4 linked regions of the Drosophila melanogaster genome follow. The protein of the gene in region 1 interacts with the protein of each later gene in a pairwise test. Each region holds a gene or a part of one and is shown in the gene's direction. Other genes may lie near its edges. The genes, in order: CG42748, Sp1, CG15269 and ATbp.

Region 1 (8,043 bases):
TAACAACCAAGGCCGGAGTACCCCCAACGTTGAAAACTATCTACGTCTCACAAGACAAGCAATTACGATCTCGAACTTCAAAAAGGTAAACAAACCCAAATGTTGTGCAAATTCTAACGTTTGATCACCCCTGATCGCAGATTCCGTCTATGCGGATTGTGTTGTTATCCTGGGAAAGCTACAAATACCGCGTATAAATTTGCTATATTCGTAATTGGGTTCGAAGCTAAGCGATGCCCAGCCTACCAGTTCGGCGTACACGGAAGGATTCCCAATTGGAGAACGATGACGATCTTGGTCGTATTGCCCAAATTTATCCCACCTATGCTACACTCAGGTAGATATTTTTGGATCAGCCGCAAATTTCCTGGCTTGGCTATGTCAAATGACTTAATCGACATTTGATTTCACGGTTTTATTTATACGGACATACATACATGTATTTCATATTTTAAAATATACATATTTGCCTTATTTAAAAAATAATAATTAATGCTTACTGACTAGTACCTTCCGATTTTGTTTAAAATAAACACGTAATTATTATCTCCTAAAACTAGTGCAGGCTCACAATTACCACCTGCCTTTCAAAAATGACTTAAAGATAAAGAAATGTGAAAAATTCATTTACTCACTAATTTGAAACTTAAACTAATAATATACACACATTTGTAATATTTTAAGCATAAGAAAAGTTAGTATGCATTCAATTTTATTGTTTGTGCATTAATATGTAGTTATTTTTACGCTTTTAGGTATTTAAATATAGTCCGACATCAAATTAAAACAAGAGAGGACGCAATAATCAAGTTGCCCGACTATTACATATCCGTTACTTAGCAGTCAAATTAAAAATCTTTTTGCTTTTAGCTTTTGATTAAAATTTTGAAATCGGTACCCAGGGTACCACTTGGAGGATCATGAGTTGCAACGGGGTCGTTTAAAACAAAATCAATGTTTGGGACCTACTTGAGTTTTCAAACTCCAAACCAAAAATTTGGTTTTCGTAGCATACGGAGGCATACATAATGTTAATATTAAAAATTAAATATTTGTAAAATAAAAAAAAAATTAAATTTCAACGCTTTTTCAAAACTGTGGGTGTTTACTAATGAAGAAATGGAAAAACATTTTACAAAAGTGTGAGCGTGACTTGCGTGGCTGGAATCTGTATGCTTGATCTCAACTCTATAGGCTTCCATAGTTCCTGAGTTCATACGGACGGACAGACGAACAAGACCAGATCGACTCGACTATTGATCCTGATCAAGAATATATTTACTTTACATGGTCAGAAACTCTTCCTTCTGCCTCTTACATATTTTTCAACGAATCTGGTACACCCATTTTACTCTACGAAAATAGGGCAGGGGTATAAAAAGTTGAAGATAACTGTGCCGATTAAAAACTGTGTCGATTAAAAAATTGCTACATTTTTATAAAGAAAGTCCGTATATACCAAATGTATATGTTAGAATGTTACTATTTTTTATACCCGTTATATAGGGTGTATATATTCTTGATCAGGATTAAACGATCTGTCCGTCTGAACGCCTGGATCTTAAGAACTTATAAAGTTAGAGAGTTGAGATTTGACATGCAGATTCCTAAGACGCCAAACAATTTTTGGCCACGCCCACTCAGGTTTAGCGGTTTTTTCCAATTGGTGAATATCTTGTTGATTGGAAAGCTGCCGCAGATTTCCATGTAGTTTTTCGAGTATAACATACATATGTACATTACATACATATGTACACATAATAGTCGCCTTCGCACACTTTTCTAGTGCGCTTCGTCACTATCGTCCACGGTAGTATATTAAGGGTACTTCAGGCACTACAAAAAATATCTTATTGCCTTCGATGTAAGAGATATATCGCAGAATGGTAATAATATCTACACTTGCAATATAGTTATTATCCATAGTCACAATAGGTCTTACCGCACTTACTACATAAATATGTACATACATATGTTGGTCGCCAAGGACTTTTACAGATTTTAATTTGTTTTGTAATATACAAGAAATAAAAATAAAATTTAAAAAAAAGCTCTTTTGTTTGCAAACAATAATCTGATTTTGTATTGATTACTTAAAAAAATTTTACGAACATTTACATATACATATTTAACCTATATTTCAAATAATTGGTATTAAATATACGCGTATATATATGGGGAACATACTAAAACTTTTAAAATTTTAATAAAATAATTAAAAAATTTAGAATTAAACTTCGATTTAGTGTTTTGTGTAAAGAGTTTCTTGACAGTCTCAAATATGTGCAAACTTGGAATTTGGTGTTTATTTTCTTGTATATTTAATATTTTTAATTTGATTTGATTTATAAGTAAAATAAATATTGTTTAATTATATTGAATAAAAAAATTGCGTTTAATTAAGCAAAAAACCTTTAATTTTTAGCTTTAAAGTCAAAAATTCAACTTATTTCACAGTGTGTAAACAGTTTCTTGACAAACTGTATATATTATTGCGTATATTTGTATGTATTTAATTGAACTATTCTAATATGTATAATATTTTAAAAAATGTTGTTAGTTTCAACGTTTGCATACATACTTTCAACCCGCTTTCAACCCATTCTACCGCTCCACTGCAGCGGTAATGTCAGATATACGTGCATATATATATGCAACATACATAATTATGTATGTATGTACAAAAATCGCAAAGCTGTCTGCGTATTTTGTTTTTGGCTTAAGTCATACCCATTTAAGTGGGTATAAAAAGGGTTCATGCCATTTTCGTCGCGCCCTTCTCTAGCCGAGATTCTTCTTTGATTCCCAATGTTTTGGAACAAGCCTGCCTGTATTCTAACCAGTTTCTTTGTTCGCCTTGCTCATGGCTTTAAACGGATCTCTCTCGTGCCTCTTTCGTGTCTCCGCTTTATCTCGGTTCTCTCGGCCACGTTTAGTCTAAGACACGTTTACAGCTTTGCTCCGCTCAATTCAGTCTCTATCTGAGCGTTGTCTTTGCGAGTTAGCCATTTGCAATCGTGCGGTCTTTTCAATGTGTCTGTAGCCGCCCCAATTACATATGTATTTCGTCTGTGGATATATGTACGATGTACATATGTATATAGGATGTACACATTTGTACATATAAATATATGAACAATGCCTATTTCTCCAGCTTTCGTTTACAGTAGTTTTGAGAAAGAAGTGTATCTGAGTGTTTACGTGAATATTGAGGGCACAAAACAAAATAGCAGAGCAAAGAAAAAATAGCTCGTTGTAAATTAGACATGGAGAACATACAATGCCTTTCAAAAAGTTATAAAAGTGACCAGAAGACCGCGGAGATTTCGTTGTCGCGCTTGTCATATTGCCCAACCGGTCAGGACTCTTTCTACTGAACATTCTATTGTTATTTTATATAAGTATCTATGTACAGATGTATGTATGTTGAAGCCGAATAAAAAATTAAGCATGGATTTGTATATAAATAAAAATGTTTACTGCATTCCCGACATATCAACAACACAATACATGTAAATGTATGTGTATGTACATGCATATGATCACATTTGCTACTAGAAAGCTCTTAGAGACCTCACCGCTTTCTATTTGAAAATACATTTACACAGTTACACAAAAAAGATATGTTTAATACGGCCATATAAAATACTGCCATCCACTGCGAAGTACATAGTACAATTTTGACTAAAACGATTCCTTTCTATGGCAGCTACGTATAACATAAAGTCAGCGATCCGCAAACAAGGTATACCGATGTATATATATTTTATACATGTATATTTTAAAATAAATAAATAAAAGCTGTGTAAATTTATTACCATAATGGTCATGTAAAAAAAACGAACCGAATAAATTATGTTTATTCCAATTTTTGTGCGGTTTGTTGTTTTGAACTTACACTGCCGCATAATTGAATAGGTTTGACTATTTTAAATTTTTTATAAAGAAAACAGTCCTCCTTGGAATAGCAAAGATTTGGTTCTGTAAATTTTGTTTTTATATTATATGTTTTTATATTATGTATGTTTTTATATTATTTATATTATATAAGAAGAAATCTCCATTGTTTTTGGCTCATCTGAATAGCTTTTACCCTTTTGACTTCTCTTTTTGTTGGACCGTGTGGTTGAAAAAGGTTGCATTCTTTTGTATTCTATTATTTAAGACATTCAATACCTGTTTATTTATAAAATGGCCGTGGAAAAGCTTTAACCGAGGTAAAGTAAAAGGCTATATGGATATGGAATCTGCGAAGAAAATAGGTCGAAGTCAAAGCAATTAGCAATTTTGATCGTAACTAAGCAGACTATATAAAAAATGAGTGGAGGGAAAAACATGCAACAACAGCATCGGAGGAAAGACTTATCATACGAACTTACCAAATTCCACTCATTCTGATGGTAAAATAAGGGAAGAATGCGAACTTAAAGAATTTGAAAAAAAAAACTCCATTATGATGCTCGAAAAAAAATCACGACTTCGATTTGCCCGAAAACACGGAGTGGAACAAGGAGTGGAAGACGGTAACCTTCTCCGACGAAAAGAAGTTCAACCTTGATGGACCTGATGGTTATAATTACTAATTTCACGATATCTTTTTATGGAACATGGTCCAGTTCCAGTTTGTCACCTCGAAGATGAACGCAAATGCGTACTAGGCTGTACCTTAAAAGGGTTTTCCAACGGTTTCTGAGATTTATGTTCATATTCAATTGACGTTCCATTATGACACTGATTTGAATCGTAAAACAGTGGATTAAGATTGCTTGAGTGGCCGCCTTGCTCCCCTCACATCAACACTATCAAACACATTTGGGGACCCTTGTTATGGAGAGTATAAATTAAAATAAAAAGTATTAAAAGTATTAAATTAAAATAAAAAAATAATATAAAAACAAAACTAACAGAACCAAAACTATTTTAAAAATGACGTTTTTTTTATACAACAACAACAACGACAATTTATTTCGCTTAAATCGTAGTCCACTTTAAGGAGCTGCAACGTTTCGAAAATTGGAAAAGGTCAAACCATAGACATTACAATAATTATTCGAAGTTCTAAATTAAATAAATTATTCTAGTGTCTTTCGTGAAACCTACTGTAAGCGGTACTGTATGTTTTCAAAGCCTCAAAAGCGTTTTTTGTCCCCAAAAGATTTAGCTTAAAGAAATTATAATTCAACTAGATGTATAAACAATTATAAAATACGTCATTTAAATTTTAGGTTAAAGTAGCAAAAAGGTCTGTTTTCGACCATATAAAGTATATATATATTCTTGGATCAACTCGGCTGAATATGACTTTCAATTCAACTTTCGGATATATATCTTTCTAGTTCTTTGTAAAACGTTATAATACTTCAAATTCAATTTATGTAACTATTTACACTGCACGAAATGCTTTTCAAATGCTGTTATGAAAGAAAAAGTGTGTTTGGAACGTTTTTTGTCTAAGCAACAGCAGATTAGAAAATATGATTAAAACAAATATATATCTTCTTAATTTCTGTTGGATTTCTTGAAAACGATTCGATCAATTTCAATTCCTAAATATTCAAATATTTAGAACACATTTCCGTAGAAAATTCGCGAAGGATAATTATTATAATTATTTAGCAACAAACACGATCACTATCCATTTTGAGCAATAGATTTTGTATGAGCGAATACACAAGTTGTTTCAGGCCCTTGCACACATTTTTATTACACTAAATTGCTCGATATAAAAAATTAATTCTATGACTTTTGAAAAACCCGCTACTTTACTGCATTAGCTTTTTAAGCTAGAGATACAATGACGGTAAACTAAACATTTGATAAGGCTCGTTCCAAAATATTACATTTTTTATAGTGTATTGTGAAGTCACAAAACACTAGACTCTTTTTACGCAATTATTAAAAACGAATTAAATAAAAAATGTCTTAAAATAGCGGGCGTGTCAAAAACATCTATACAAATCAAGGAAAAATATTCAAAAGTTTGGACGTTGAGCTGCTTGAAAGCTTTCGAGAGGGTTTATGATGCGGTTCGGAAACGCCTCATTTTACCTATTTCTAATCTATTTATATATTTTTTTTACTGTACAAGTATATTTATTTTTACGTTGATTGTTTTTAATCCCGAAAAATAAACTTAATTTAACTGGCTACAATTACATACAAATTCGAAACGAAGAATCGTAAATATATTCTTACATTTTGATTCGAATATCATAAAACAAGGCGATTTCCATTTCCTGCAATTGGGTTCAAGGTTCAAGCAGTAAGGGTATGTTAGTCTCGGTATTGTGGCTTTGTAAATTTTTTCCTCTTTTGGGCTTTATGCTTAAAAATGTGGGACGTTGCCAATTACTACTAGGGCCACAACAATACCGAAATATGTGAAAAAACTTTCAGAGGCTCTGTAGCGTGAACGAGTGAAAAAAGTCAATGAACCCATGCTGTATGGTACAATTGCCTCTTTTTTCATTGCTTTTTCCCAGCAACACAATACAAGAAATTATAACAGAAAGGACCATATATTTTTCAAAAACACAGTAACTAAAATCGTAAGATCTGTTTGAAGCCAAAATCCGAAATAGCCGATACTTATTACTTGTACTTAAGTAGAATGCAGAAAAAAGATTTTGCTTATGTTTTAAGTTATACCCTTGCCGTAAATATACATACATATGTATGTACATATATTGAAATTTCTATCAGTATGTCACCTTTTTTTTGCCACTTCCAAAACTCTCACTCCCACAATTTCGAAAAATGTGCTGATATTATCTTTTTTAATAATTCCTGTGCCAATTTCTGTGGATATGCCAAAGAATTTTTTAATTTCTCGTTCGCACACCAAATAGCTTAGTAACGAGTAACCCGCCTACATCGCTCTTTCTTGCTTAGTTTATAATACTCCATATGCATACATATATTCAACATAGACATAATATAAAATAAAAATAAAAGGCTCCCAAGCCTCGTTACTAAATATGTTAGGTGTACCCACACATGTACATACATATGTAGATGTGCATGTGATAATCACACCCCAGATGTGCAATTGTAGCAACCAAACAATTGCTTGGAAAAGTTGGTTTCGCATGAAAGGTAATCAGAGATTAGGTAGTGTTGTAAATAAAATAAAATCTCTACGTTTGTGATGCCATGAACTGTAAAATCCCTGCTGAGCATAAAAATTGCTAAACCCACAAACCGCTTAAAACTTTTCCGTTCACACTGTTGAAAAACGTATTTATTTTTGTATGCCCTTGCACAGGGTATTTTGATTTCAGTCAGAAGTTTGCAGCGCATGAATTAAAGTTTATATATTCTTGATCTATATGAGCTGCCTATCGGATGTAGACATGCTTATCTGTCCGTCCATTTCAACAGAAATTCGGTCTGAGTTTTAAAGCTATTCTCATGAAAGTTGTCCAAAAGTCTTCGAGCCGGTTCGGTCGACAAATATGTAATTAGCTGCCATTGGAACATTGATAATGAATTGATAATAAAAGAAAAGAATATTCGGAGAATGTTCACCTGATTTTTGACAGCATCAGATTTAATTTTTAATTTCATCAAAATGCATTTTATCATGCAGTTGCAAAGAAGCTGCCTAAAAAAAATCTTTTGCGTGACAGCACTTCGGCTTGATAAAAGATCCAAAAAACTCTGCAGCTCTTTTAGTTCTTGAGATTTGGACTCGGCTGGTCAAGATAACTTCTGAACATCTGGGGGTAGAGACTTGGTCAATATTTCGTCAAAAAAATTTACGCATGTTTCTCATCCACTAAGTACCATTGCGCACGTCCAGTTTTAAAAATATACAATTTAAAGATGTTGAAAACAGCACTGAGAAAACTAAAATCTCTGTTTAATTCCATTAATACTCTATTTTTATACGTTTTCTTTTAAAAAAAATGTATTCATACACAGTTACATTCAACCCTTTATTTTAAAACTTATAATTTCTGTATATAAGCATCGGCTTGCCGATGCTTACTCTCTTCCTTGTTAAATTTTCTTACTTTTCTATCCAATTTATATCGCTACTCC
Region 2 (7,883 bases), on another chromosome or scaffold:
GCAAGAATTACTGTTTTAAGCAGCTAATTACCATTGCTAACGATTACTATTGCTTTTTGAAGAATTTAGGAAAATTAATTTTTGGGACAATTTTCGCATTTTTTGTAAGGGGTAACATCATCAAAATTTGCAAAAAATGGCCAAAAAATAGAATTTCCATTTTTGAACACAGTTTGATTGGAAATTTAATTACGAGCTCAACGAGGTATAACATTCCATATTCAGGCTATTATTTTTAAAGTTATGGCCGAAAAACTGATTATTTGATGACCGAAATTCGGAAAAACGGATTTTGCCAAAAAGTTGATATTTACAAACGGAATTTTCGTCATAACTTGGCTAAAAATGCTCATATAGATGAAAGAATAACTGTTTTGAGCAGCTAATTACCAGTGCTAACGAACCCTATCCCTTTTTGAAGGATTTTGGAAAATTAATTTTTGGGTCAATTTTCGCTTTTTTTGTAAGGGGTAACATCATCAAAATTTGCAAAAAATCTGAAAAAAATAGATTTTCCATTTGTGGATACAGTTCGATTGGGAATTTAAATACGAGCACAATGAGGTATGATATTCCATATTCAGACAATTATTTTTAAAGTTATGGCCGAAAAACTGATTATTTGATGACCGAAATTCAGAAAAACCGATTTTGCCAAAAAGTTAATATTTACAAACGGAATTTTCGTGATAACTTGGCTAAAAATGCTCATATAGACGTAAGAATAACTGTTTTGAGCAACTAATTACCAGTGCTAACGATAAGTATGAGTTTTTGAAGGATTTAGGAAATTTAATTTTTGGGTAAATTTTTGCATTTTTTGTAAGGGGTAACATCATCAAAATTTTCAAAAAATTTCAAAAAAAAATTAAATTTTTATTCTAGAATACAGATTGATTGGAAATTCAATTACGAGCTTAGGAAGGCATGCCATTTCATATTTGGCCCAATATTTTTAATGTAGGGACATAAAAACTAAAAAATTTTCGGCGGAAAATCAGAAAAATTACTTGTGGCACTGTTTCACTTCACAAATGTATCGACTTGATGTGAGGAAATCGGAGCCACTCAAAAAAGGCAACAATGCCGATAGGTAACCACCCACTCATATGGTAAAGTGGGGGGAAAAGCGGCGGGAAAATGCGTGGCAGACCACCCTCGGCGGGCGGAAAAGAGACAGGTAGTGGCGGTGAGACAGAGCGATGTAGTGCAGAAAGCTGATTCGCCGTACAAATATCAGTGAAAGAGATGAAAACCCACAGTTTTCCACAGGCAGGGGACTGGTGGAAAATGTAGTGGGGAAAAGCGGGAATGCCGTCGTGCAATCAGTCAGCGTTATCAGTTTGCCCAGCTGATGAGGTCCAACCGCAATTCCATGGCCATGAGGAGTCAGGAAGTGGCTTGGCCTTGCCTGCGACTTTGGGCACACCCCTTCGACCCACCCACTCCGCCGAAACACCCACCCACCCAACGCCACCACTTAATGTGTTGCATTTGTCCTGCAGCACGGTCGTGATTCGAAGTTGGGCAGCACTACAGGTCACTGTAAGAAACAGGAATTGGAAAGCAATAGTTATCGCTTAAAACACCGGAAAAGTTAAAGTCAAATATTTCTTGTATTTTTATTTATCTTTTATTTATAATCATATTGAAAATTAAAACTAATAATAGGTGTTGGTTATCTTTAAAATTGATTTCATTATCAAGTTATTATGCTCGATACGTGCATACTGATTGGCACAAGGCCCACTTTTCCTCAATTTTCCCGCTGTGCAGAGAATTTCCCGCGGCCAGGCAACTTGTGCTGGGCACACTTCCACATCTCTACTGCCACATCATCCACCTCCATCGACAGTCCGTTGCTGGTTTTTGGACTTTTCAGCTTTTCTCACAGGGGCTGGCGTTTTTCGGCTGCCTGGGCGTTTTGTTTGCATAGAAAGGCCGGAGGGGTGGGGCGGCGAGAGGCGGGGCGGTACAGGGGGTGTGGTTCAATTAGCCCGCTTCTCAGCTGCAGCCCTGAAATGCAACAGCTCGACCGGCAGCTTCCAGCTGTGGGAGGCCCAACTGGCACGGGTTAATCTGGATTGGGTTCCGAATAATCACGACTTCTCGGGATCTTCCAAATCAGAGTCTAAGTACATATGTACATTGTTTTTAGTTTTCCTAAAATATTACTAAAATAACATGCTATGTAATCTTACAAATACTTTGAATTTCGTGAATTTTCTGAAACAGAATTTTCAAATGTGTCAGATAAATTCCAATTGTTAAACCCTTTTCTGCAGCCTTACATCCGGTGAAATCTTCCAAGTATTTGTTATGATTTTCGAACATTCTTAACTATCTATATATATTTAGCAATATTTTCCATTTCTAAACGCTGTGATAAAACCACACCTGGATTTATTTTGCTCAAGCTAAGACCATTTAAAGTCGCAATTTCCAGAGTTAGTCTACTTTTGGGGGCAAAGCTGTTGCAATCTAAGTTTCGCTGGTCTTTTCCAAATTTCCTTTTCTTTAATTTAGTCGTTTTCGAGGTAAAAACACGACCATTTCCCCGCAAAACTCCCTTTCGCTGCGACCGATAGTAACGAAAAGTCGAAATGGAAAACAATTTGTCATCTTGCGTGGATTTTCATTTCTATTCTCATACATATATTTCGTATACCCTTTTGTTTTTCCTACGATTTTCAGCTATCCAGTTCTGGGAAAACAACATTGGCGAACATTTAATTGAACGCAATAGTAGTTGTTGCCGTGTGTGCATTTGTTTTCAGTTTTTAACGCAGGCACGCGATGAAAGAGAGGGCCGCAGGACTGTCGAAAGAGACGGCACGAGGGGCACGTGTCCGTGTGCGTGCCATCTCGCTCGCACAGCGGCCATCGCTCTAATTATAGGTTAGGCCCGTCCGATCTGCCATTGGCCAAAGCGTTCATATAGAGGGGGCTGTGCTCTGGGAACTGGTTTTACCCAAAGCAGCCGGGGTTTTTATGAATGAAACTGGAAGGGAAAGGCGCACACACCACCAAAATACGAATACACGAATGCATATATATATATATATATATATCTTTACCCCTGGCACCCATTCGCACCACTCTAGAGAGTGGTGTGTGTTGTTTTATATTTTGTTGTTGCTGTTGTTTTTGGATTGTCTGTACGAGCGTCTCGCTTGCACTGATGGCATCGTTGGCCCCCACGTTGAATTTTGGTTAGTTGGAGTGAATTTACGACTGTGTGCTATCTCACTCGCACCGCTGCGGCAGCTACGCCGGCAGCGGCAGCGACTGTGGCAGCGTTGGTGGCAGCGGCGACATTTAGACAAGCTTTTTGTTCGCGTGAAACAGTTGCAAGCCTTTGAACGATCAGCGACGACGGCGTTACTTTTGGCGCGGATACAGCAGCGACACTTTTTTTTCGTTGGCAGGCGCCTCCTGTCACCAAACAAACAAATAAATAAACAAATAAACATAAAAACAAACAAGCAAATAAATAAACAATAAACCAACAAGCAAACAAACAAACATAAACAAGCCAACAAGCAGCCAAGCTAAACAAAACAACTGTGTGCATTTTTGGTTCGAGTTTCCTTTAATTTCCATCGCTTATATTTCATTTTTTTTTTGCCTGTGTTCCTTAGAAAAGAAGTCTATAAAGAATAAAAAAAATAAAAAAAAAATTAAGCCCATATATAGGCACAAAATCCCAGTGACAATAAGAGCAGTCAAACATTGCAACTCTCAGCAGCAAACATCAGCCGACGGCCGAGTGAAGAAAAGTGCAACGCCGACGGACTCGAGAAAAGATACAGATACAGATACGGATTATACATATCTGGGCTATTAGCTGGGCCATAATCTGCTCTCAAGCGATTTAGCCCACTTTGCTTTTTTTCTGAGTGCGTGTGTGCTTGTGCTGTGCTGTGCTGTGCTGTGCTGTGCTTGCCAATCCATTTGTCCATGTCCTTTACATCTTTTTTCCCTTACTCTCCAAGATCAGTGAGCCTGGCCTGCAACAATAGTCGCAACAAAGAAAAAAGTAGTTGAGTTGAGCAAGAAGAAAAGAATAGAAAATCGAACCCTAAACCCAAGTGGCCGCAAAACAAAGCAGAAGCAAAACAGACAGCATCATTGTGCGCCTCAAATTGACATCAGCAGCAGCAGCAGCAGCCGCAGCAGCAACGACAACTGCCACTGCCACTGCAGCAGCAGCAACATCAGCAGCAGCAGGAGACGCAGCAGGAACATCCACAGCAACCATGTTAACGGACATGACACCGACCGCCGGTCAGCTCTACGGATCCCAGATTCCGGCCATGGGCATGAACATCAGCAATATCGCCACACACTTGCAGAAGCCACAAGTTAATCCGGTAAGCCGAAATCTCAAATCCCAAATCCGAAGATACCAAAACCGCACCTCGAGATATGTATCTGCAAGATAGGTCACTACAGATACGATTTGGTCAGAGCGTTCTTATCGAAGTGTATCTTTCTTTTAACACTGGGCCTCAATTATGCACACTTACCGTCACTTTACACACAATTGCCATCCATCGAATAGAAAACTATCGACAGCATAGCCCAAAAGTAGTAGATTCTATTATACAGATACAATTACAGGGTGTAGAGATACAAATGTATCAATCTGTATAAGAAATTATAAAATTATGCCAATTATGGTGACCATTACTTTAGATACAATTGTCATGTCAGAAAGTTAATATTTGTAATATACAGAATTACAAGCATAATTGGGTCTTAATCAACTGTTCTAGAAAAACTAGTGTTTTTTGCACCCAAAAACGAAAAATGCCAATGTACTAAGAGCAATTTATTACACCCACTATTCGCTTCGCTAAACATTTCATAGTTATCGCTGCAGAGTTTAGCCCGAAAGTATCTCATAGATACATATGTGGGCTCACTGCGCACAAGTGACTGGCAGGCATTTGCTGACTTAGTCATGATTTGATGAATGCCTCCCGCAGACACTCGTGCACTTCGACATAAATCATTCGCGCAGAGAAGTCAAGAAGTTACTTTACGGCAAGTATTTCTGTATCTCACAGTTGCGGCTGCCAAATCCTTACCAATTGTCGCTTATAAAATATATGTACATACGTACAGTAATCGGACAAATCAGCCACTTACACGGCATTAGCATTGACAATAAACAGCCATAAACAAACAATGACAACAGACGCCGCGGATTTCGATTTGTATTCAGTTACGGATACGATTTCGCATCCGAGGAATTCACAGTAGCGCACACCTTTTGTCAGCCGCTCAGCTGGATTCCTTTTGTGAGGCGATGATGATTGGAACTCATCGGGATTGTTTGGTAGTATCTAATGCCGGGGAACGGGATACAAATCGATTGGACGCGGCTTGTTCAGCCCCGGATTTTTTCACTGTTTTCTGTGTGCCAACGGATTTCACGGTATGCGCCGCAGATACATAGCTGCAGATACAGATACTATTGATAGGCTGAGATACTGAGGTACCAGGTAGGCGCCGTTTGCCGTTTCTCGTTTCTCGCTCTCAAAATCAATTATTCAGGCTCACTTGAGGTGTGAAGCTAACGATGGAATCATTCCTGGGTCTACTTAAAATCTTTTTTTGTTGTTTTTTTTTTTTGTTTCATTTGGGGTTTTGGCAAATCTGTAGAGATCGTATTTCCACGCTGACTTTTCGACTCGTATCGCTTATCGCACAGCGGAAGCAAACACTTAAAGGCTAAAACGCATCAGGCAGCCGTTCATAATGATCTTTTGGCCCCGATCCAAAATTCGCTCATCAATCTCGTCCGGCCTTTGATCTGGACCGAAAAACTAAGACAGATTTCCGCTAATGATCGTTTTTGTACGGCTCCTCCGGGCTTTTGCTCTCGATTTCAATTCGAATTTCAGTTAGCTGATTATGCAAGTCCATCGTGCTGGCCCACATCATATGATATTGGTTCAAAACCCTGTAATTCACAGCAAAAGGTCAGCGGCTAGATCAGTTGGCTAAAAATAATTTGTTAAATTCCCCAAATGAAAACTTTGATGTCAATGCTAGAAGTCATTAAAATCAGAATCAGGGTTTGTAAAGTATTTAAAGAAGAATATAGTGTGTTCTAAAGTGTATACTTTAAAAGTTTAGCCAAACGAATAATTAAATAAATAAATTAGGGTTGATTGTACTTTAGATATACTATCTCTGTTCTGAAGGATTAGCCCGAATCGCATGACACTTTTAATAGAGTCAGCAACGCCAAATGGACGCAATGTGATTGAGGCACTTTCAATCTGCTGCCCCTGGCCACCACCTGCCCCTCCCCCCTCCCTCCTTTCCAACGTTCATTTTTCTCCGATTTTTTCACCTTTTTTTTTTTTGTCGAACCAAAGTGCAGACGCCACGCAATTGCGTGTGCCCATAAAAAAAAAAATGTATTTGCCAAGAACCGCAGAACGAAACGAGCTGGCTGCTATAAACTGGCCTGGTCTCTTGGTCTTTCGGTCTCGTTCTCGTTCTCCAACGGATCTGCATATTGATGGAGCAGCGAGGAACGAGAAACGTTTATTAAAATTAATACCACATCAATCATTTAACAAACGCGCCTGTCGGCCAAGTTCAAAGCGACGGCTGCGACTAGACCAAAAAGCAAAAAAAAAACCATATAAATATATATATATATATATTTATAAAAAAAAAAAAAACTGACTACGTCTTTGGGGTCTGCTTAAGAAAGTTACACATGCGCATTGGTTTTAATTAAAAGCGTTTAAAGACATCATAGGAGAGAAATATCAGAGGGGCAATGAAAAAAATGAACAGCAGGCGCAGAGGAAAGATGATAAATTACCGAGACAAACTGAAATTAACATTTGTGCCGGGAAAAAAAAGAGACAGCCGTGTGGCTAGCAGATCACAGAAAAGCTCAGCTCAGCTCCGCTGAAGGGATTATACCAGACTATACTATACCAGACTATACCTATATTGAAAGCCGCTGTTAAATTATTGAAAATCATGCAACGATCCGCGCCGTTTTCCCATGAACAGCAGCCTCATTTGTTCAGTGTGAGCTCTGCGTCGGCATAATCAGCATAACAAAAGGAATTAAGCAATAAAATATTAATGAAAATACACTGTGGAGAAGATCGCCGCGTCATTGACTAATTTGTTTGTGGTTCTCCGGCATCTTTCTCCACTCCGTTAAGAAGGCGCCAGAGATCTTGAAAGGTAGGGAGTGGCCAGCGGTAGCCGTGACAGGCGCCCCATAGATCGTACACCCGGAGAAATTTCACTGACCCTATGACCCGAGGAAAAACTAGCAAAGCAGTTGTATAAAGCAGATTGGCTAAGCATTGCCATTTAGCCGAGGGTTACTATTTTCATAAATTTCGGATCATTTTCTTTTACTTCTTTAAGGAGGTTTTTAAAGGAACTTCTTGCTAGCAAATCATTTCTTCCTTAGGCGATATGATTGCGAGATCAGAGATATTCTTAAAATGTACTTACAAGCATGATTATTTTGCCAGTGCACTTACACCTCCTTCTGGCTGCTCGACATATTTACTTAATATGATTTGGCTTAATGAATGCGCCTTGGCTTTTGTGTCTGCCCCTTTGCTACATTGTGGCCATTTCATTCTTTTCCCCTCTTTTCTAGTCTGGGCATTTTTCACCTTTGACAAAGGCTGTGCCCGTCGCAATTAACTTGCGTCATTTGGAAAATTAGTTGGCATGATGCTGCAAAAACGTTGGGGAATCCAGAAAGGAAACGCCAGGGAGGGGGTGTGCAAGCGGCACAAGGTCGCTGCCGCTTCAAAAGTGCCGCTTGAAAAGCCTTTTTCAATTTCGGTTTTTCCTTTTCACCCCGACTTTTATCATTTTTT
Region 3 (8,833 bases), 7.0 Mb from region 1:
AAATTGAAAAATTTGATTTTAATTCTTGCATTCGAAATGTGTTTTCATTAACATAATTAACGTCCGATTAAATGTTTAGTATCGCCCTCCCGCTCACTTTTTGCCGCCATCCCCCTCTCGCTCGCGCCGTCTACTTGTTTGTTTTCGTTTGAATTGTTGTAAAAATAAAATAAATTACATTTTAACAGCAAAGAAAGTTCCCTTCAAAGACGTTGACAGCTATTCGTCAGTCCATTAAATTTGGGTTTGTTTGTTTTTTTTTTTTTCTGGGGGCTGTATTATCTGTTTATAGGATGCATTAAAAGTCAAACGATTTCGGGCGTGTTTGTTTCATCACTTTCGTGTGTTTTTCAATGTGGGGGGTCCATGGGGGATTCAATATATGGCAAGGGGATCGAGAGGGTCGAAGGGCCTCCCCCCTTGATTTATGTTTGTAGCTCATTTATATTGAAATTTGATATATACGAGCGCACGCTGTTCATTTTGCAAAAGCCGCCGTCTCCACTTCGTATTTTATATTCGAATTAATTGAAATGATTGTGATCTACAACATTGCCGAGCCATACGCCTCGTTTATTCATATGCACAAACATACATACCTATATAGTTTAGCCACTTTGGATCCGTATATACATATGTACATACATATATGGACGTGCATATATAATTTACGAATATCGCTTTGTTCGCGCTCTACTCTCCTTTGTCTCTGTCTCGTTTTCAGCGAACTTTTATTCCATCCATATAAATTATATCGCGGCTAGACAATAGTATAACACCTCCTAAATGCTGTTGTTAGAGCCCTGTTTTAGTTTTATTGCCAAGGCCTGACAAATACATAAGTTTGGGAATTGGGAGGTGGGCGTTTCTGTAGAATTTGCATGCAAATTTTGAACCATTTCTAAGCACTTTCAAGTTTTCCGATTAGTTTTGAAAGTAAAGCGAATAAAACTATTTTGTCATCATTATTTTAAACATTTTTTCTTTATGTTATACATAGCTCTAAATAATTTAAAATGATCATTTTTGTAATTACTGTATTCAATTTAACTCAAATACATTTCATGGCCAAAACGTGTTACCTGGAAATTCAGAACTTTATATTTTTGTTGCTTTTAGTTCGCCTTGAAAGATCAGAAAGTCCAAAAAGGTCGTTCAATCTTATTGCCAAAATGTTGGACCCACCATCGCTGGAAATAAACTTGGCAAATCAACACATTTGTCAAGCTACACATAACAAGGCGCAGACGAGAAGGTCCAAACAATCCAACGATCCAAAGCCCCATCAGCGAATAAAACCAAAGGTCCACGCAACTAAGGAAATTAAACGGAATCCGTAAGGAGGACAAACCCGAACCGGCGGTGAAGATCGGAGTTCGGTGGGGAAATCCCAGGCAAAGTTGATCACCCGCTGACAGAAAATCACTTGGCAACGCGGCTGATCATTAACCGATAACACATGACATTAAAGAGTTTCACAAAGAAGTTTTAAACGCACACAAAATAAGATAAATGCCGACCACCCCAATGAGGGGGAACCAGTCGACTGAACCACAACGCACAATCCCGACAATAACGAGCGGAAAATTAATAGTGTGAACAAAGAAGAAGAACCATGGGGAAGATCGAGGAGATGGAGATGGAGATGGGGATCTGGGCATCTGAGATAGGTATCAGCTTACATTGGAGACGGCCCCAAAACGACGACGGTAGTAAGGAGTTGGAAATTTGTCAAAATGTCAACGGGTGAAACAGTTTTGGAGCGTTCATGCGAGTCACCTGGATGCGTTGCGATGGGATGCTACGGATGGAGATGGAGCTGGCAATGGAGGGACTTCGCATGGGGCAGCCACGTAGCTTTTGTAAAACAAACCATTAGCAGCTAATAAACATTAGTCATGCGACAAAACAAAGTCTCCTGGAGTCTGCTGCAGAGGCCCGATGATTTAGTGAGTGTAATTAAAACTTAAGTTTCCTTCGCTTCGCATATGTAAATTATCTGGCGGAATTCCACGAAATGCCAACCGAACTGAAAAAAAAAAACGAAATACGAAAAAGAGTTTTTCAACTAAGGTTGAACAAGTTTTGTGGTGTTCGCCCGGTCCTCATATGTATAATTATAATGAATAGCCTGTTTAATCAAAATTTATGCAGATCGTGGTCAACCAAAGCGAGCAGCGCGTGTTGACAGTCAAACCATTATTAATCACTGGCAAGAGGATCGGTAGTTGGCTAGCGCGGAGGATTTGAAGGGGCTTCTCCGCCAGGTAATCCTGATAAGATCGTTTTGTAAGTGATCGTGGACAAATCGTGTGCAAGATTGTGCCTTGCGCATTAGAGTCTCTCTATGCGGCAATTGGCAATTAGAAAACAGAGACTTTCAATCCTCCAATCCTTGTGAGTCAGAATATCAACTCCATTTCACCGGATCTCATTCCATGTAGCTGTAAATGTATACCACTTCATTTGTATCTGCAGCTTCCTTGAATTCGCGTGGTGTGTCACCATTTTACTTCACCTGTGTATGGATCCTCCGAATCCTCGGCCTGGATACCATGTTATTTATGCGCGTTTCATCCAATCACAAATCACTTGAGGAGCATTTTGTTTTGCACATTTTTATGGCCGCTACTGATGCTATGCAAGTCGAGGAAGTGGTCACAGTCCCTCTTGGATGGCAACTAAATGTAGTGGATCAAGCTTAAATGCTTCAGAAAGAGGTATTTGTAGGGCACCCTTAATTGGCATAGGCTATTTTTTAATAAATTTATGGAAAAATATTTGGGTTCAAATTGTTGTTTCTTAAAAATTCTTTACTTTACTTTAATGGCACAGCACGTCCTTAATTACTAAAATATTTCAAGAGGGTGTCATAATCATCCATATATGATTATTTAGACCTTTTGGGCTTACGTTAAGTTTTTTGGCCAGTGTGGTCAATCATGAACCGTTAACAACCCTTTTTAAATTCGCAAGAAAAATACCTGATTTCCTATACACCATTTTGACGATCGTTTGACGGTTATGTCATCTAGTCCCTAGCTTCAATTCCTTCCCACACTCACACATGGCTAAGACTGCAGAGCCGTGACGAACCAAGTCACCTCAAGAGATGATCGCTGCGCATGCGCATAACCGTAAGATTCACACATGCCTGGGAATCGGATTCGGAATCAGCGAGGATGTGAATGTGGACGGGGATGAGAATGTGTGTGTGTGGATGAGGAACAAGAGAAATACATTTTGAAAATTTAACGATGCGCACATTTTATTACCGCAATTAATTACAAAAACAACGCGGCCAAAACGAAATCTTAGTCACTTTATCAGAGAGGTCCAGTGGATAAAAAAAATGAAAGAGAGTAGTGCACGGAGAGCGATCTGAAAGGAGCGATAAGGTTTATGATAGATGTGACTAGTAGAACGCTACTAGCAAATGGTTCTGGGTCTGCAGATTGCAGCTCCTCTCGTAATTGGAGGCGCGACAGTTTGTCTCCAGCAGTCAAACCTGGTTAATTGGAGAAGAGACTCCCGGTCTATGAGAGAGAGAGATACGGAGCGAGACCGACCTGTACGGTCAAACCTGTTTCTCGACCAATTAAATTCGAGAGCGGGAGCGTAAGCCAGGCTTTAGGCCCGGCCAAAAGACGATGACGGCTGCTGTGGGCTGTGAGGCCAAGACATTTCGTGTTTCGACGCGTAACGCGACAGTTCCCCGGGCTAAAAAGCGCCTACGCCTCAGAAAATAGTCATCCGAAACGGTAACGCCTGCGGTCTATGAGTGATTCTTCGGTGTGGAGAAGAATGGGTTTCAAGCACGCCATGCTGCAGCGCAGTTACGACCTTTCGCCCTCGCCGGCGCGTACTTCACCCACCAATGGAGTCCAGAACTTGGGAGCTGGGGCACAGTTGCCACCGGCTCAAGTCACTGACTTTAGCATCAGTAAGATTCTGGGCAAGGAGCGTAAATCCGCTCAGGATACGAGCACGAATATCCTGGATCTATCCAAGAGCAGTAGCAACAGTATTAGGAGCCCACAGGCTCTTGGAGGGCTGGCAATACCATCAACTCCTTATGCCTCCGGTGCCTACTCCATGTTGCCGCCAGATTTGGTGGCCATGGCCAATGCCACCAAGTTCTATGCCCAATTCTTCCCGCACTTACTGCCCGCCTATGCGGCTGCTGCAGCGGCTGCCGGCTTGAGTACTCCTCCTACGTCGCCCTATCAAACACATCAGCATCAGCAGCATTTGCCAAATCAGCAGAAACGCTTCTTTGCTCCCTATGTGATCAATGGATCGGTTCCCCCACCACCACCACTGCAGCAGCAACAGCAACCTCTCATACGCACCAAAAGCACCGCATGCACTCGTCCGGATTGCCCGGAGTGCCTGGATTATTACCAAAGATTGCAGACTGGTGGCTATAAGCAGACCGCACCTCTCATCTCACCCGCCGCCTCCTCGGTGAGCAGTTCCACCGGATCAATACGTCCTGTGAGGGATCTGATTATGAGTGCCACTGGAGGAGCCGCCAGCACTAACATCTCACTGACCACCGTGACCAATCTGAGTCTGAACTCGGTCCAGGCAACGGCCGTCGGAATGATGCCCAAGATGACCGGTGGACTGATCACCACAGCCGTCGGCAGCAACAGTGGAGCAATCGGTGGTATCGGTGGATACAATGCCACATCCGCCGAGGAGATCAGCTACAAGTGCCGGATTTGCGAGAAGGTATTCGGATGCTCTGAAACTCTGCAGGTGAGATTTTATTATTGTTATTAAATTATTATTACGATGGTGTTCTGTTTACAAGTATATATCATTTATGACAACCAAAGCGTTTAGTTATCAGTTATTAGCTTTAGAAAAGATAATTCATCCTAAATATATTCCAAACTCTAACCCAAGGATTCAATTTATTCTTAAAATCCCTCAAAAACGAGTAAACACAAAACACCCACGAAACAAATTTTTATATTTATAGTGTAGACAGAATTTTAATTTTTTTTATTTCATTAGACCTTCAACTTTTAAAAAATGAAATACAAATATTCAAAAAATATATGCAATTCCCAATTAGAATTTAAGAATGAAATGATTTAGATTTGCCAGATTATATTTTATTTCAGTTTGCTGCTGTTTAGTTATAAAAAAAGCGAAACGAAATGAACGATTGTATGAAATTTTCTTATAAATTAAATAGCACAATCAAACTTATACGTAAAGTCACTTAAAGAGTTTGTACTTACACACAAGCATTTGGCAAATGCACGCGTATTTTTTTTTTTAATTATAAGTAACAAAAAAATTAATGATTTAGATCTCATCAACGGTTACGTATACATTTATCACAAAGAAATATGTGTTTATGCGGAGTACTAAATGATTGAGAATTATTATTGCAAAGCCATTAAATAACTTTAGGAATTTAACTCCTTTCAAAACATCTAAGCCAAGAACAGCATTAACCTTTCACATGGCCATACATCACATAAGATATCGTTTGGCCGGTCCTCAAAGTCCACATCCACACGAGATCCTCCCAAAACGGGTTTCTTCACCAACAGAGATACCATATGGATTTGGGCGGGGCCTAAAAAACAGAGAAACAGTAGTCTAATTGGAAGGCGGAGCTCCGAAGAAAAGAGTGGAGATTCAAGTGGAGTGGGGAAGAGAGAGGCAGCGAAGAATTGAGTGCCTTATGCAAATCTCGCAAGCAATCCGAGTTCAAAATGGAGTCGGCCGAAAACAGAAACAGAAGCGGGCAAAAAAGAGAGAACTGGTTTTACGCATGGGTGCAGCTACAAGATACGTTAGAAAGGGCCAGACGCCGAGCGAGAGGTAATCACAAAATGGCCACTTTGGGAAAGAACACCAATTTCAGTAGCTAACTGAAGCAAGCCACATTTGAAGTTGCAACAAAATTATTACAAACAATGGGGAACATTCGAATGTGTAACCATGGTATTTTTTGCATTTCTGGCTTATTTTGTATAAGTATAAATGTGTCCAAAGCTCAGTTTTCAGTAACTTTATATTCGAAATCTTCCAATCCTCACTAGAACTTATAGAATAAGGTATTAATATTAGGACCTAATTAAAATGTTGCTAAACATACTCATCTTGAAAGCCTCCCTTCCAAAAACTAACTAACTAACGAACAGTTTGTAGAAAATCGCTGTTTTATGAATTTCACAACAGATTTTCACTACCTCAGGTTTTTTATTAAAATTTTAAATCTCTTACTATTGCTACAATATTACTATTGCTAAGCTAATGTATCTTATTTATTTATCTTATTTGTCTATTATGTTCTTATTTCAGGCTCATGAAAAGACGCACAAATCGCCGCGTTACGAGTGTGCGGATTGTGGAAAGGGTTTCTCCCAGCTGCGAAATTACAAATATCACCTGTCCGTTCACCGAGGAACCAAGGAGTTTGCCGCCGAGTGTCCCGAATGTGGCAAGACATTCAACGATAAGGGATATTTGAGCAGTCACCTAAAGATTCACCGGAACCGGAAGGAGTACGAGTGTCCTTACTGTCCCAAATCGTTCAATCAGCGTGTGGCCTTCAATATGCATGTCCGGATTCATACCGGCGTGAAACCCCACAAATGCAACGAGTGCGGAAAGAGATTTTCGCGTAAAATGCTGCTCAAACAGCACATGAGGACGCACAGTGGTGAGAAACCGTATCAGTGCTCCGTGTGCGGCAAGTCCTTTGCCGATCGCAGCAACATGACCCTGCACCATCGCCTCCACTCGGGAATCAAGCCCTTCAGCTGCCCCCTGTGCCCCAAAGCCTTCACCAAAAAGCATCACCTAAAGACGCATCTGAATTACCATACAGGCTGCAAGCCGTATGTCTGCCCACATCCCAACTGCAATCAGGCATTCACCCAGTCGAGCAATATGCGAACCCACGCTAAGAAGTGTCAGTACCGTCCGTTGGATGGACTCACGGTCACATCATCCGCACTTCCAGTACCGGGAAAACAACAAACAGGTCCACCGCCCACTTTGGCCATGGCCATGGCTCAAACATTTCAAATGCCGCCACCTCCTGGAGTTCTAACACCTGGATCTGGTCCATCCCAACCGCCGAGTCAGCAAACCCTTCTCAGCAATCTCAGGACATTCTAAATGGGTGGAATCGTTGTGCCCGGCCAGTTTCAACCAAATTTGTGGCAATTACAAAGTGCAGTACTTCCACTGTTGTTATTCAATTTACATTTATTTTCAAGCAATAATTTTGCTAGAAATTAAATTAGGAATAGACATTAATTATTATTAAAATAGGCATATATATTGGCCAGTCAATAAAGTATAATATCAAATACAAAAGGATTCCAGGATTCTAGAAATAATATTTTGGATTGGAGATATGATTGGGAGTCCAACTAGGTAATTTCGCTTATAATCAGATAACGCAGCCTTATTTAATTCAAATCTTCTAGTGACAAAAATTAAAAGATGTATGTTTTTTTAGTAAACAAATGAACGAACCGTTGCAGTACATTTAACATATTTAAAAGTGCGCTCTCACTCAGCCAGATGGCGCCACCTGATAGTTTATTACCACTGTAGGTGTGTTGAGTAACTAAACGAAATCTTGCTGTTAAATTGTATTCACAGCTGTCCTAAAACCGAGTTGGCAGCCCTTTTCCCCTCAAAAATCGAAAGTCTGTTAATATATCGATAAGTCAAGGCAATTGTCAGTGGTACCGTTTCGTCTGGTATGACCGTGTTGTGAAATTTTGTTAGAAATTTACAATATAAGCGAGCATAAAAAACGCAGGAAAAGCGCAAAAAAATCAGTAAAACGTGCCTGCGGACCCAGGCTGCGGTGCGTCCAGTTGGCCGTAGAAAGCCTTTACCAAATTCGATCGAACTGAGAATTCGATTCGGTTAACTTCTGCATTGGGCTCAATTTCACCATTGCACACGTGTCTGGAGCTTTTCCTGGGTTCGGTCACCTCCTCCTCGGATTGCGGACGATCCCGTGGTAGCGCTGGGAAATGCCCAGCAGAGGACGGCGGGCAGTTCGAGATTGTTCCGGCAAAGAAGCAGGCGCAACTGCAACAGACGCTGGTCACCAACGACAGCACCGGACTCTCAATGGCTGAGTACTGGCAGCAGTTGACCAACGGCGCCGGAGAAGCGGGACCCGGCAATGAGTCATCCGCCATGGCAGACTGCAACGGAGGTCACGAATCGGCGGCAGTGGGTGGTTCCTGCAACAGGCACAGCAACAACAATTACGTGAACTTCAATCAGTTCATTATGCAGCACAATCTGGGTGGAGGAGCGCCCTCGAATGCCACCAGCACTATGCAACATCCGGTGGGCAGCAGCTACACTAACTTCTCCCTGGGCGGCGGTGGAGGAGCCTTTGGACTGAACCCACCAGTGGCATCCGCGAGTACCAGCCACTTTGCAAATGTGAGTCATCAATCTCCGAATGTATGTTTCGATATATTAGAACTTAGGTTTAGTCCTAATGAATCAACTAATAAATCACAAAACAGTTTTACTCGCAGGCCATGATCCCAACCTATCAAAATGGCGATGGCATCGCTAGAGTCACCGTCACCAGCAGCTATGGGTCGGTCAATCCGAGCAACAGCAATTTTTCGAGTTTTTACACACCTTTTGGCAATAATCCGTTTGACTTCAGCGCTTCCAAGCTGCAGGCCTCGGCTCCGGAATTCGTGCCCAATTTCGCCAAGCTGAGTCTAGAAGAGACACCGGCAGCCGCCACTACGAACGGAAACAGCACTGCCAGCCTAGAGACTGCCATAAATGAGACGAGACCTAGGACTCT
Region 4 (7,482 bases), on another chromosome or scaffold:
ATGTGAAAAAATATCAATATATTTTTCAAAAGAGTGATCGTGGCATTTTTTCGTGGGCTTGTGGGCGTTGCAACATGGATCAACAAACTTGCGCTGCGTCTTTGTCTCTAGAATCTGCATGCTAAATCTCCGCCTTCCAGCTTTTATAGTTCCTGAGATCTCGACGTTCATACGGACAGACGGACATGGCTATATCGACTCGGCTATTGATCCGTTATACAGTCGGAAACGCTTCCTTCTGCGTGTTACATTCCTTTAAACGAATCTACGTTACTCTACGAGTAACGGGTATAATAACCAAATAAAAAAGTCTAAACATATTTAAAAAATTTGGTTGGCGTTCGAATGAGATGGTGGAGGTATTTTGGCAAAGCGATACAAAGTAGCAAAAAATCAAAAAATGCAATGAAAAATAATTATAACATTTCACAAAAGTGTGGGTGTGAACCTTTTGGGCGGTTTGCCGTCGTTAGGGTGTGCGAATATTTCAAAACTTGCCCACGTACCACTATGTGAAATTTTACCACTTTTTCTGCCCAAAATGAATAACTCCAGGACGTTGAAAGATATTCAGATTGGGTTACAATATATCCGTTCTGAAACCGCCCCTTATATTTGTTGTAGTTTGTAACTCTAGAACGGATAAAGATATTTAAATTTTTTTGCCATTATCTTTTATGATACCAAAAATTGTGGCCGTGGCACCGCCTCTTATATTTAATTAACTAATTTTGTATAGGTATTTCTCTAATTTCGTATGCTTTTTCTAGTCCAAGCAAAAGAATGGTAGCTGTTAAGATGATTTTGGCTTGATGTTTGATGCCAATTTGATGTCCTCGAGATGTTGGTTATATACATTTATTTATATATTTAAGTATGTCCTGTGTGTTAAAGTTTTCAATAGTTGTAAGTGGATGGCTTGTTGCGGTTCTTGCTTGGCTGTCAGCGAGTTCATTTCCTGGTGTTCTTAATAATGCAGAATTTTGCTCTTTTATTTTTATGAGTTCTTAGGGCCTCAATAATGGCTAGTATGATGTGCCGTTTGATAAGTTAAATTTCGTAGTTAATAGCGAAGCTGGTAATTTTGTTTGTTTGAGATCCATCTGTGTAAATGTAGGTCTAGGAAAGATCGTTAGTTTGCTTATTATTTAATATTTTCCTTATCAATTTTGGGGTCGTGTTGTTTTTGTTGAACTTATTGTGTGTTGTGTCGATTTTAGAAAGATTGGTGTTTCAGGGAGGTGAGGTTTGGGGGCATATATTACCCGTTACTCGCAGAGTAAAAGGGTATACTAGATTCGTTGAGAAGTATGAACCGGCGGAAGGAAGCGTTTTCGACCATATAATATATATATATTCTTGATCAGGATCAATAGCCGAGTCGATCTATCCATGCCAGTCTATCGGTCTGTACGTAGGGAAATGCAAAGACAAAACAAAATGTGAAAATATATCGCACATACCTAAGTATGTAGTTATGTAAATACACATACATATATACATATATTTCACATTTTACATAGCCACATATGAATATACATATGTGTTTTCGGGTAGGGTATCATTTTAAAAGTGTCTGTCTTGCGTTACTTACATTTTTTCAATAACAAGTACTCAATACTTTTGCTTTTGGATTGTATTTTCTCCACTGTACATTTGTATAACAAAATCCATAATATTATCTTTTAAGCTACGCATTAAGGTAATTTCAGAAGGAAATGAACGATTCCTAGTGACTTCAATATTATTGAATAATAATTGATTTTTCCAAAAAAAAGATTGTATTCAAATATATTTCGGTATTGTTATATATTCATACATAAATTCATTTATACACATAACGGAAAATTAAAAAACATCGATTAGTTCGTAATCAAAGCACATTAAATCAATGCTTAACAATAATCAGGACACACTATGTAGTACGTTATTTAAAAAATTATTAACATAATGCTTGTGTTCTAACTAAATAACCGACTGACCCTTTCAGGAGTAAGGGAGAACTCTTCATTCTGATAATGAAAATGCGAGAAAGATGGAGCTATTCAAACAGCAAAACATTGATACGGACAAGTCCAGTTCGACTCTACTAGTTTTCCTGATCAAGAATATATGTATATACATTAAAGGGTCGGTAACGCTTCCTTTTACCTGTTAAATACTTTTCAAGGAATTTAATATACGCCTCCACCATACGAGGGCATGAAAATCATTTTTGGTACTTCACAACATTTTTAAAATTGTAAAAGGCTTAAAGATTCCATACAACAGTTATTTAATATCGATAGAAAATTCGCGATTCTGGACTTTTATTTAGAAGTTTTTACCTTATCGATATATCGATAGAAGATATTTAAAATGCTATAAAAGTATTTTGGTTCTTCCAATGTCTAACGCTTTTTTTGAGTGTCCTGTTGAGGAAACCAATGTTTTTTAAGATTTTTTCCCAAAGCTTCACATGCGTTTTATCGTTTGTAAATATAATTCCTAATTAAAGTTTTTTTTATGGACCACTGATATGTAGTTCTTTACCATCAATGCGATAGCTGCGTTCAAGTTCGACACTAAATAAGGCCGATGATTAATCGATACTATCGACAGTGCCCATTCGGCCGATAGCTAAACAAAAACAAAAAAAAAATAAACATAAACAAACAACAGCACAAGGACCGGACCTAGTCAAACAAAACAACGCCATGGGTTTTCCGCGCATCCTCAGCAAGAACAACAAGATCTACACCAAGCTGGGCGAGTTCTGTTTGTCGGGGGATAGCTTCTGGATTGTTTGTCACACGTGCCAAGAGGAGTTGCAGACACAGGATCAGTTCTGGAAGCACATACAGGATGAGCATAATTTCATGCACGGGGTGGCAAAGGTATGCTTTATGTGGTTTTTTTTTGGCGGAGGGTTTATAACCCTTGGTCTCTTTACACAGGAACACAGTCGTACATCCAGCTACTGCCTAACGGATGTGGAGGCTGCGGCGGCAGCAGCAACGCCAGGAAGCAGCTCCCAGCAAGGCGCCACAGCGATCAGTGTGCCTCTGGCACTTTACACCTGCTCAACCAAGTATTCTGAGGAGGAGCAGCGGGAGGTGGAAATGCACGAACAGCAGGTGCAACACCAAGTGCAACAGCAGCAAGCGCAGCAGCAGCAAGCGCAGCAGCAACAACACCAACAGTCTCAGCAGCAAGGGCACCAGCAACACCAGGTTCAACAACAGCAGACCCACCAGCAGCTCCAACAGCAGCGGGATGTTGCCAAGGAGCTGGCTGAACTCCATGCCAATGCGGTAGCTGCCGCTGCAGCCTCCGCAGCTGTGGTATCCACAGGCGAAGGAACTACCCAAAGTAACAGCGCCATCGACATTAAAATAGAGCCCAGCAGTCTGACACTTACACCCGAAATGCAGGCTGCTGCAGCAGCTGGGGGGACCATTTACCATCTGCCACAGCTAGTTCCACCACCTGTACCGCCTCCACCGCCAGGGTCCGGATTTGTAAGCGTCAGCGCCAGTACCAGCACCTCCAATACGGTCAGCACCACGCCACCCAATGTTCTACAGCAGCAACAGCAACTAAACATGTCTGTCGTTCCTTCGACGGCTATGGCCGCCGCTATGCTAGCCGCCAGTCAGGAACAGCTGCCCAAGGACTCTAACAGCACGACGGCCAGCGCCGGGAGTGCTGTCTCTTCAGATGACGGAGAACGCTGGTACGTCTGCGATTACGAGACTTGTGGTTTGAAGTTTAAGTATAAGTCGAGAATGGAGCTACATCGGGTAGTTCACAGCAAGGAGCGGCGGTTCAATTGCGAACTGTGCAGTGCCTCCTTCAAGCAGTCGTGCAACCTATCAACACACCGGAAGAAAAAGCACGCACTGAGAGGCATCAAAAGCGAGATATTGCCGCAGCGCTTTTAGGCTATACATTAAACAGAGACAGCTCAAAGATTCCCCAATTAACCACATTGCATCTCGAAAAACCCTGTTTGAAAATGTTGACTTAAGTTCAAGGAAATCGCTTGTTTGCCACAAAAAATGTTCATTGTGCTAGGAGCCACAGAAATCTGTTGAATTAGCAAGGTGTGTACAAAAGAGTTCTACATTTTGTCTCTTCCATGATTTCTCTGCCTTTTCTAAGACTCAATAAAGTTATAGACTTTATATTTATATTTATAAATTAAATAATTCTGGATAATTCCGACTGTAAATTAAAATTTAGCACTGCGTCAACATTGTGGCAGGCAAGTGACATATATATGTATATCACATATGTGTATATATATATGCTCTACAAATGAATATATATTGTATATAAATAAATATATAATATAAATATATATAACATGTATGCATATTTAGTATATAAAAATATACAAATATAAACTAATATCTAATGTAGGCTTAGGTTGTCATGTAAATGTAATGTAAATGTTTAGGCAGAGGTATGAAAACCCCCGTTATCTTTTACGCTCTAAGTGTACATGCAATGATGTGTGTAAAGGAGACCAAAATTTAGAAGACGGAATTAAGCCCAACCAAAAAATATGTTGGTGTCTAGACCGTTGTGAGTTTTGTTTTAGAGTAAATTGGTTCACAATGTGTTAAAACCGATTAGTCTCCTTTGAGTAAGTCTTTTACTTTAAGTTGAAATGGATTCTGAGGACAGCGAGATTTCTGGGACATATCTAGTGGTTGCTGAAATAGTGTCAGTTACAGTTTACAAGGTTAGAACAGTTATTTACCTAGATACACAATATTTATGTATATATGGCCATATATACAGCTGCGAAAAATTTAATATTACCACTTGCCCAATCAAGGTTTGAATAAGTCCCAATTTTAGGATTTAAAAAGAGCAAAAATACCTTTTTAGAAAAGTTAAATCATGCACTTATTAGAAAATAAAAAATAATTACATTGTTCTATGAGTTCTTAACTTAATTAGCCACGTCATGAAAAATGCTTAAATATTCAATTTTAAACAGCTGTTCAACGTGTTGGCATGGATTGATTCAGGTCCTGGCACTGTTTAAGGGATATTTAGGTCCAGGACTTCTTAATTACAGCCCAAAGTTTTCCATTGTTAGTTGCTCGAGAAGCTACAACTGCCTTTTTATTATCGTTGAAAGTATGTAACAGGCAGAAAGGAATCCGACCATATAAAGTATATAACTGCTACGCCCACATTTTTGAAAAATTGTTTGATATTTTTTCATAATTTTATTAGTTGTGTAAATTTCTATCGATTTGCCAAAAAACAGTTTTGAACAATTCTTAAATTTTTTCTCATTTTATTCCCCAATATCTATCGATATCATAATAAAATGATAAAATTTCGTGTTCGCATTCACACTAGCTGAGCAACGGGTATCTCTCTTGTTTTTCTTGTATTTTATCCATTGCCCACAAAGTTAACAACCTTGCTCACATCTGACCATAAAATGTTAATGCGCTTGGCTATGTGTCTCCCATTAAAAGGAGGGACTTTCCTTGGACTTCAGTATTTTAAACCATGTTCCCTGAGACATGTTCGAACTGTTTCTGCTATTGCGAATATGCCGAGCATCTGTTTCAGTTCGATAGCAGCTTTAAATGGGTCCTTCCTGCTCTCGCGCACTAGCCTTTTGAGTTTTTTAATTTTTCGCACTATGGGAAATTTGAACACCTTTTTTGTCCAAAATTAATAGCTCGAGAACGATATTAAGATATTTTTTTTGCATTGGGTTACACTAGCACATAACTAATTTTGTATAGGGCTAGGCGATTTCTGTGGCGCTCTAGCCTGTCGTGGTACCCGCTGGAGTGCATGTTTATTGCCTCGAAGACAGTGGCTAGCTTGAGGTCTTTGTGCAGGGTTGCGTTCCTTACGAACCATTCGTATCCCGTTATCATCCTGGCGATTTTGTTTTGGGCAGCCTGAATGCGACGAATTTGACTGTCGCACGCCAAGCCCCAAATTTGGCAACCATTCCGACATATTGGCGCTAAAATTTGCTTGTAAATTGTCACCTTGTTGGAGAGTGACAATTTACTTCGCAAATTAATTAACCAGAAGTGCTTTGACGCTGCTGCACGTATACGCACTCTCATCGCACTTGCTTCGGAAAGTTGAGTCTCCGATCCAAGATTACACCAAGATATTTGGATGAATTGGACTGGGGGACAGGGGTACCATCGATGAGCACAGCCGGTGGTGTTCCCCTTTTCAGTGTGTAGCACACATTCGCTGATTTGTCACCATTGATGCCAATGTTCCAACGTCTTGCATATTGCGCAAATGTTGATGTGAATTCCTGGATGCCTTGATATTAAGGGTGAGAGTGTCAACAGCTTCTTCTAGGTCTCTCCATCTTGGTATAAACTGTAGCTGTTGCATCTAGTGTATAATAAGCGGTAGGGGGTCGGAGCTGAACTCAGCAACAGAACGTTCAATATATCAGCATGCATATCCAGTATGCCCCTGCTGACAGCAAAATCTATATATTCTGGGGAGCCTCTACTGCCGTACGGGAATCTTGTAGGACCTCCGGTTGCTAGGGAGCTCATATCTGAGCTTAGGACCAGATTCGCTAGCTCACGCCCTCTTCGATTGCACCTACCCGCTCCCCATAGCCAGTGGGATGCATAATGCATTTAAATTCGTCCGTATTCCATATGAACCTCGGGGGCAGTATATCGCGCAAAAATTGACAGGGCCATGGCCCGTCTCGATGGCTGCAGACGCGAGTTGCACCTTGTCAGTGGCTATCGGTGTAAGAGGGAAGTGGACTAGGCTGGAATTGACCAGGATCGCTGCACCACCTTTGGCGTTACCGTCGCTCGGGTCGTTGGCAGTGTAGGACTGAAATCCAAATATTTTGGGTATATGCGTCTCCTTGTAGTGAGTCTCGCTGAGCAGCAGGACGTTGTGCGCCGCACAAAGCATTCCACTTCTGACAGCTTCGTGGACACGCCATCGGCGTTCGACACTAAGATGCGCAGTGGCATCATTATGGCGCTTGACGCGCTTGGAGAGCAGTGAGCAGATTGATGATCTGCCCCTGCTGCTGTGACTGTTGTTGCTGTTGTGTCATCATCATCATCATTAACTCCATCTGCTTCTCTTGAATCGAGCGCAAAGAATTAATACTTTCATTTAGCGTCTGCAGGATGGCTTCAATGCTGCTGCTAGCATCCATCGAGCGCTGAAGTGTGTCCCCAGACGACCTTAGCCGGCTGCGGTTTTTTTGACGTCTGAAGCTTCTATTATTGGGCTGTTGCTGTTGCTTCTGTTGTTGGTGCGTCAAGCTCAGTGGTTGCTTATGGTGAACGAACCCTGTAACCACATCTGCATACGATATACCTCCTCTAGAAGAGGGGATCTCCCTACCTCCAGATAAGCCCTGTGTAGTTGGTCGCTCCTTTACCTCGGTTCTTCCGGCCACTCCACTTCTGGGTCTGGATCGCTGCATGAACGCTTGTAGTTTGCTGCAACCTT

What was found.
Region 2: the proteins of CG42748 (region 1) and Sp1 interact in a two-hybrid assay, tested with the Drosophila melanogaster proteins (one large-scale study listed by BioGRID).
Region 3: the proteins of CG42748 (region 1) and CG15269 interact in a two-hybrid assay, tested with the Drosophila melanogaster proteins (one large-scale study listed by BioGRID).
Region 4: the proteins of CG42748 (region 1) and ATbp interact in a two-hybrid assay, tested with the Drosophila melanogaster proteins (one large-scale study listed by BioGRID).

Annotation. Positions count from the first base shown.
Region 1 is NT_033779.5:22,131,363-22,139,405, forward strand, and holds the start of CG42748 (uncharacterized protein), read left to right. Parts: upstream 1-2,970; 5' UTR 2,971-3,745; intron 3,746-8,043.
Region 2 is NC_004354.4:9,726,305-9,734,187, forward strand, and holds the start of Sp1 (Sp1), read left to right. Parts: upstream 1-3,343; 5' UTR 3,344-3,579; exon of another isoform or gene 3,580-3,995; 5' UTR 3,996-4,259; coding exon 4,260-4,373; intron 4,374-7,883.
Region 3 is NT_033779.5:15,105,763-15,114,595, forward strand, and holds CG15269 (uncharacterized protein), read left to right. Parts: upstream 1-3,642; 5' UTR 3,643-3,822; coding exon 3,823-4,764; intron 4,765-6,330; coding exon 6,331-7,152; 3' UTR 7,153-7,330; downstream 7,331-8,833. Other genes in the region: stc (shuttle craft), read left to right, coding at 8,128-8,472, 8,538-8,833.
Region 4 is NC_004354.4:23,103,408-23,110,889, forward strand, and holds ATbp ((A+T)-stretch binding protein), read left to right. Parts: upstream 1-2,595; 5' UTR 2,596-2,696; coding exon 2,697-2,876; intron 2,877-2,936; coding exon 2,937-3,923; 3' UTR 3,924-4,924; downstream 4,925-7,482. UniProt on the Drosophila melanogaster protein: May be a transcription factor for genes having (A+T) stretches in their promoter and/or enhancer regions. Binds to AT rich DNA.